Linked DNA regions of Cricetulus griseus. The protein of the gene in region 1 interacts with the protein of each later gene in a biochemical or structural test. Links are inferred from orthologs where the notes say so. Each region holds a gene or a part of one and is shown on either strand. Other genes may lie near its edges.

Region 1 (3,812 bases):
GTGAGGTCTGGACACTGAGCAGTCATATCTCCTTTGCTCTCGAGGCTGTGGCTGACAGTTCACTTGGCAGGGACTCATAGCCTTCCCTCTAAAACATTTTTGGTTTAAAAGGATCAACTTGAGTGTGGTGTGAAACATCTCATATCTTGGTTTGCAGGAAGCAGAGGCTTTTGCCTTATACCACAAGGCCCTGGACCTACAGAAACATGACAGATTTGAGGAGTCTGCCAAGGCCTACCATGAACTCCTGGAGGCGCGCCTGCTGCGGGAGGTGAGGTACTGGGATGCTGGGCTGTGTTTTTTGAGACAGAGTCTCACTTTGAAGTCCAGGCTAGCCTGAAACTCTGGGTTCTCCTGGATCCTGAGATTGCAAGAATGGAACAACCTACCCAGTGCTTTTCACTGTCTGGGTCTTGTTTTGCACACATGTACATGTGTGTATGCATGTGTGTTTGGTTTTAGTTTTTTCTTTTTGAGACAGGATCTCATGAAAGCCATGCTAGTCTTGAACTTGCTGTGTAGCCAAAGCTAGCCTTGAACTGACTGCCCTACCCTACTTCCTGAGTGCTGAGTGCAGGTCAGCCTGGAATTCTCTGTGTAGACAGGTTGCCCTTTGACAGAATTCTGCCTGCCGCTGCCTCCTCAATGCTGTGATTAACGTCATGTGCCACCACACCTGGCTCTGACAGTAGTTTTTATTCAGTGATATCTTGGAAGAGTAAATGTTTTTAAGGCATTGCTATAAAAGCAGCGGTGAAGTAACTTTTTATGTTAAAGATGTTTATAATCCTTATACTGTTTGATCTCATGTTCACATTTGCTATCCAGGCTAGGAATTGCTGTCCTTTTATTATAGAGTTCACTGACAGTAGCTGTTTAGTTGGAATACCTTGTGGGTGGCTGTGTGATGATCCAGAGTCAGGAGCTTCTCCTCCTGGGGCAAAGCTTAGGTTCTGGCTGCTCACCCCAGGAAGCCTCTTCACACTTGCCCCTGAATAGGGGGACTGGCTGGGCTTTTTTGTCAGAACTGATAGATGTTACCAGCTCCACTAAGCAGCCCAGGTACAGCAGCAGAGGTGGAGAGGGGTCTCTTGTCTTCCTTGATTACCAAATTTCTGCTTCATGGTGGTTTGGCCTTTCTTTGTATGATTGGAGCTATTTGGTCTCCCAAAAATTTCCCAGGTGAGGTGGACTGGGCTGTCTCAAGCAGTATCTGGCCTGGAAACCAGGTTTCTTGTTGATTGCTTGATGAAGCTGTAGGGTCATGGCGTCACTTCTGCTTCTGTTTTCTCTCAGGCAGTTTCATCTGGAGATGAGAAAGAAGGGTTGAAACACCCTGGACTGATACTGAAATATTCTACATATAAGAACCTGGCCCAGCTGGCAGCCCAACGAGAAGATCTGGAGACAGCCATGGAATTCTATTTGGAGGTATGGAGTTGGTACTACTCAAATATCCATTTACAAAATTGATAAATTGGATGTGATATGGTCTTGTTGACTGAAAGAAGGATTTGTAGTGGTGTCCCATCAAGAGATATTATTGAGTGCAGAAAGGCCAGAAAAGCAGGGCTAGGGACTGGGATGGGCTTCAGTGCAGAGGACTATATGTGACATTTTCTACCATCAGTACACATGTGACTGTAGGTGACTTATTTAATCCAGCCAAACATCCAGGTCTATACCAATGTGTAATAGGAGGAAAAAAGGGTAAAGCTGGGCATAGTGGTACATACTAAACCAAGCAGTGGAGGGCTGAGGCTGGAGGATCACATAGCAAGTTTGGAGCAAAGCAAACAAATTGGTGCATTTTTAGGTATGAAGACCAGATCCTGACACCTGTATTCAGTGGTGTTTTTGAGACGGTGTTCCACTGTGTAACAGCCCTGGCTGTCCTGGAACTGGCTCTGTAGACTAGGCTGGCCTCTGCCTCCCAGTGCTCCTGGCCTCATGTAGCTTTTTATGTGTCTTTTGTCTGGGTCTTGGAAACATGTTACTCCAGGAAAGTGAACCAGCTTTATTATAAGCAGCCACACTGTCTTGACTTCTCCCTGGGTAATTTGAATGGCTGGGCCAATGCTTTGTCCTTTTGTTGCCACTTTGCTTGCTCAGTGAGAAATCTAATTAAGTGCATATTGTACCCTCTGCTTATACTGCTTCTAGGCAGTGATGCTAGATTCCACAGACGTCAACCTTTGGTATAAAATTGGACACGTGGCCCTGAGGCTCATCCGGCTTCCTCTGGCTCGCCATGCTTTTGAGGAAGGGCTTCGATGTAATCCTGACCACTGGCCCTGCTTGGACAATCTCATCACTGTTTTATACACCCTCAGTGATTACACAAGTGAGTCGGGACAGATGAGAGAGGTTGACTTGGGTAAGCTGGTAGCAAAATTTATTAGTTCTGCCAAACTGAGGAAGAATGGAGATGTTTTTACATACTTGCTTAATTCTGTTTTCCTTTCTTCATTAACCAGATGCTTGTAAGTATAGAGTAAGGTAACAGTAATGTATTCTCTAAAGGATTCCCCTTTTCCTCTGTGCAACGTCCTATCTTTTTGGGTTGTCCTTTTTTTTTTGGATAAAAAGTCTCCTGTGTCACCTAGGCTAATCTTAAACTCCAAAGGCCTGTCACATTGAGTGACATAATGGGAGACATTTATTTTCCTGGCTTAGGCTAGGAAGTCTAAGATCAGGGTGCCAGCAGATTGGTGCCTGGTCGTGGCTTCTGTGTTTCCACCTCTTGTAGCTTTACTTGATGGGGTGGAGTTAGAAAACGAGAGGGAAGGTGAGCCCACTTCATGTGTGTGTGATACAAGAGGTATAATTTATCCTGAAGCAACATTCTTCTCTACCCATGGGCCTAGCCGCATTGTTTATGTGCTCCAAAATATAATGGTGGGATATTTGTAGAATAAACCTTCCCTTGTCTATCCCCAAAGTGAGAAATAGAAAAAAAAAAGGGGGGGGGAGTGAAAAGTTCCAGGTAAACTCAGAACTTAGTAAGGTAAATTTCATTAGGTCTTTAGGTTCAGTAATGTCTTTGGTTTGATGCTCTTGTCCTCTAGGTCCACTGGGTGGCAGTGTCACTCTCATAGCTGAGATGGCCAGATATTTTGAAGGATATTGGCCAATAGCTAATCACTGTGAGCTCTTTAGATTTTTTTTTTTTTTTGCAGCAGTTATTAAATATGGAATCACGGGGTCAAGGCTGTACAGTAAAGTCATACAGTCTGTTTGCTTCTGGCACCAGCTGTCCTATTCACCTGCAAGTGTGTGTTCTGGTGCATTCTTGATATTGTAGTCTCAGCTGTAGTCGTTACTAATTAAGTTGGGTAAGATGCTAGCTCAACATTATTGTGCATTTTAGTTCCACAGTGGGAGCATTTTCCTGGTGTTAACTGGAAGGCTAGAGTTGTGAAAGCAGTCTTAGCTTCTAACCTGTTTCTTTCCTGCTAGCTTGTCTGTACTTCATCTGCAAAGCACTGGAGAAAGACTGCCAATACAGCAAAGGCCTGGTCCTCAAGGAGAAGATTTTTGAAGAGCAGCCTTGTCTCCGGAAGGACTCACTCCGAATGTTTCTCAAATGGTAAGGCCTGCATCTTCTCACCAATGTGGCTGGTAAACACTAGGAGCATCCTTCGTCCCCCTCTCTGTCCTGATCTGTGTGCCTTCGGAGTCTCTGAACTCCAGGGCTCCATCACCTGTGCTGTCCTCACTCATCCACTAGGTCACTCTGACCTTCCCGTTTGTTGCTTGGTGGGGTTAGATGATAGGGATTGAATTCACGGTGCAGCCCCCGCCAAGATTTT
Region 2 (3,812 bases), about 200 Mb from region 1:
TCTGGTCAGGGCTACTATTTTGTTCCTTTCTAGATCAAGGGTTTCCATAGACAGTGACTGAGTCACCCTGAAAGCAGAACTCCAGGGGAGGGGCTGTGTCCAGATACCTATGGGCAGAGGGACTCTTGTTAGACCTGGCCACCCACTACTCTCCTGCAGGTGACATTCACCAAGCGGAAGTTTGGGCTGATGAAGAAGGCCTACGAGCTGAGTGTGCTATGTGACTGCGAGATTGCACTCATCATCTTCAACCACTCTAACAAGCTGTTTCAGTATGCCAGCACCGACATGGACAAAGTGCTGCTCAAGTACACGGAGTACAACGAACCGCATGAGAGCCGCACCAATGCTGACATCATTGAGGTGCGCCTGTGCCCGCCTCTGTCCATGTGTAAACCCATCTCTTCTCCTGAACCAAGGCCCCAAGGAAGGAGGGGCATGACAGCAAAGGCATGAGACATGTAGCCAGTACCAGGCTTCAGCTTGACTTAGGCAGTGTGTGCCAGGTCTGAGGCGCATCCTGTGTCTTCTCTGTCTCTTTAGAGCCTCCTTCCTTCATCCTCTGGGATATTCCTTTTTGTGTCTCCCTCTTTGTTCCCACCTCTCCTTTCTGTCCTGTGTGGCTCTTGCCTTCTGTTTCAGAGTCAAATTTTGAAATGTTGAGGACTTGAGCTTTAGGACTCATCTCTGGTCTTTACTGGTACATGGCCTTAGGCAGGTGGTCTGGGCTGTGGTCTCTTCCACAGACTGAGCAGTGCTGACTTACAAGAGTGTTCTGTGAACAAATGAGACAGCCAGCTCATGCTTCTCACTCTAGGGTGCCAACATGGGGTACAGAGGTTAAGAGTACTGGTTGCTCTTCCAGAGGAGCTGGGTTTGATTCCCATAGGGCAGCTCACAACTGCCTGTAACTCTAGTCCCAAGGGATCCACTCTCTTCTGACCCCACAGGCACCAGGCACTCATGTGATACACATACATACCGGCAAAACAGACATACACATGAGATAAAATAAAAATAAGCCAGGTGGTGGTGGTGCACACCTTTAATCCCAGCACTCGGGAGACAGAGGCAGGTGGATCTCTGTGAGTTCGAAACCAGCCTGGTCTACAGAGTGAGTTCCAGGGCAGACGAGGATACACAGTGAAACCCTGTCTTAAAAAGAAAAAAAAAAAAAAAAGTAAAAATGAAGCAAGGGCTGGGGAGATGGCTTAACAGGTAAAAGCACTTAATGCCAAGTCTGATGACCTGACTTTAAATCCCAGGATCCTTGTGATAGAAGGAAGAGAACCAACACCTGCAGGTTGTCCTCTGACATGCACTCATGTGCCATGGCATATACACACACACACACAAACACACACACACACACACGCACGCGCGCGCGCGCAAGCACACGTGATTTTAAAAAAATGAAGCAAGTATCTTTAAAGTTTTGAGCAACCACAAGCACTTGGGTCTGCCACAGGTACACTCTAAGGTCATGTGCAAGGCTTTGGCCCCTGGGAGAATCTGGGGTGGTAAGTGCAGGTCCTTTGTGCTCTCCTGTGTCCTCCTCTCCTATCTCCATCCAGCTCGGTCACCTAAATAGAACTTAGGGGTTTGGATGGGCAGAGTTCCCCACCCCTAAACACATCCTTAGGGGAACAGGCTGGGGTGACAGAGTCGTGTAATATACCTGCCCCATGCCTAGGTTAAGTCCACTTCACTCAGGACCCCAAGGGAGCATTGTAGGGAGGAGAATGGCTCTGAGGGAGGGACTGGAGCTTCTGGAAACCATGGGAGAGAAGGTTGGAGAAGAACAGGGGATCCTTGGGAGGAGCTTGGAGGAGGCAGGAGGACCATTGCTGGCTGGCTGGCTGACTGAGTGGTGCGGTTGCAGACCCTGAGGAAGAAGGGTTTCAACGGCTGTGACAGCCCAGAGCCGGATGGGGAGGACTCACTGGAGCAGAGCCCCCTGCTGGAGGACAAGTACCGGCGGGCCAGTGAGGAGTTGGATGGGCTCTTCAGGCGCTATGGGGTGAGCCCTCCTCACCTTTTCTGTGGTCCCCTTCCGGCCCCTCCCCCAGGCGCTGCACAAGAAGCACAGGGAGTGTGAGAGCCCTGAGGTGGACGAGGCGTTTGCCCTGACCCCCCAGACGGAGGAGAAGTATAAAAAGATAGACGAGGAATTTGATAAGATGATGCAGAGTTATAGACTGGCCGTGAGTAGTCGCATGGAGGAGAGCCTCCTGTGCTGCATGGTGTGGCTTCACCCAGCCTTGCCCGGCCCGTGGCTGCCTCTGATGGGTGCACTAGGATGAGCCATCTTGGAGCTGGTACTGACCACTGAGGAATTCCTGACCTCGGTCTTGATAACCCTCTTCTTATAAAGTCCTTGCATAAGCTAGAGAGACAGGCATTCTCCCCTCACCAACAAAAAGTACAGATACCTTGAGTCTTTAGAGGACAAAAAAGAGTATGTTCTTTGTCCTGTTGTTTTGGGGGAGGCCCCCTTGGGCTGCTTTGGCACCCCTGCCTAAGGCATTCAGCTTTGTTTAAAGGAGGTGGAACTGCTAAAGGGAAGGGAGAGGGGTGGGCTTGAACTGCTCCTGAAGCAGGCCAAATGGTGGATGGCAACTTAGTGAAGCCGTATTCTTAGAAGTGTGTGAGTTGGGTCTGTATGCAGGGCACTAACTTGCTCCCAGTGTGTCCTGCCTGGCTGAGGACTAACCCACCTCCACTGGGGGTATCCAGTCCTGTCTGCAGGGGGCAGAGCCTTGCTCTTCTGCCTTGGACCAGAGCTATATTACAAGGTGCTCTCATCTTTCTGATGGGAGGTAGGTAGGATTACAAAAGGGCTGAAGGCAGGGAGTCCAAGGTGCTGGCCCTTGGAGATATAGTCCAGGAACCAAAGAACCCTTGTGCCTACCCTCTTGGGCAAAATGGGTCCAGGTGGAAAGATTCACCTGGTGTGACACCGCCTCCGTCTTTCTGTCTAGTCATCTGTTCCGGCCCCCAACTTTGCCATGCCTGTCACAGTGCCCGTGTCCAATCAGAGCTCCATGCAGTTCAGCAATCCCAGTGGCTCTCTGGTCACTCCTTCCCTGGTGACATCATCCCTTACGGACCCACGGCTCCTGTCCCCCCAGCAGCCAGCACTACAGAGAAACAGTGTTTCTCCAGGCCTGCCCCAGCGACCTGCTAGTGCAGGTAAGTGGGCTGGAGGGTGAATTGCTAAGGCGGAAGTGAGCCTCTGGGCTTCCATTTTCAATGGTGGGTCTTCCCTTCACAGAATTCCTGCATGTGTATGACTCTTGAGGGGGAAAAGCCTAGGACTCCTAAGGGACCCCCCCCCCCCTTCTTGTCCAGTCCCAAGACAAAGCTCACGGTAGCTCTGCTTTTCTCCCAGGAGCCATGCTGGGTGGAGACCTCAACAGTGCTAATGGAGCCTGCCCCAGTCCCGTTGGTGAGTGTAGCTGCCTTCCACAGGGTGGCTCAGAGGGACCAGAGACTTAAAAGAAAGGGGAGGAGAAATGGCAAGACCTAAGCAGGAGGCATCAGAAAATTTTTGTTTTTGTTTTTTGAGACAGGGTTTATCTGTATTGCTTTGGAGGCTGTCCTGGAACTTACTCTGTAGACCAGGCAGGCCTCAAACTCAAAGAGATCCTCCTGCCTCTGCCTGCTGAGTGTTGGGATTAAAGGTGTGAGCCACCAAAGCCCGGCCAGGCCCCTGGATTATTTTGGAGTCTACAGCAGTGACTAGTTAGAGTGACTAGTCACTGGGTCCAGGTGGAAAGGTTCACCTGGTGTGACACCACCTCCGTCTTTCT

Evidence for each region.
Region 2: the proteins of Cabin1 (region 1) and Mef2d form a complex in vitro, tested with the Homo sapiens proteins (2 studies listed by BioGRID). The link is inferred for Cricetulus griseus from reciprocal best matches to the Homo sapiens genes CABIN1 and MEF2D.

Annotation. Positions count from the first base shown.
Region 1 is NW_023276806.1:262,841,117-262,844,928, forward strand, and holds part of Cabin1 (calcineurin-binding protein cabin-1), read left to right. Parts: intron 1-157; coding exon 158-271; intron 272-1,296; coding exon 1,297-1,431; intron 1,432-2,163; coding exon 2,164-2,344; intron 2,345-3,459; coding exon 3,460-3,589; intron 3,590-3,812. UniProt on the Homo sapiens protein: May be required for replication-independent chromatin assembly. May serve as a negative regulator of T-cell receptor (TCR) signaling via inhibition of calcineurin. Inhibition of activated calcineurin is dependent on both PKC and calcium signals.
Region 2 is NW_023276806.1:66,317,226-66,321,037, reverse strand, and holds part of Mef2d (myocyte-specific enhancer factor 2D), read left to right. Parts: intron 1-159; coding exon 160-363; intron 364-1,882; coding exon 1,883-2,020; intron 2,021-2,069; coding exon of another isoform or gene 2,070-2,204; intron 2,205-2,981; coding exon 2,982-3,192; intron 3,193-3,391; coding exon 3,392-3,448; intron 3,449-3,812. UniProt on the Homo sapiens protein: Transcriptional activator which binds specifically to the MEF2 element, 5'-YTA[AT](4)TAR-3', found in numerous muscle-specific, growth factor- and stress-induced genes.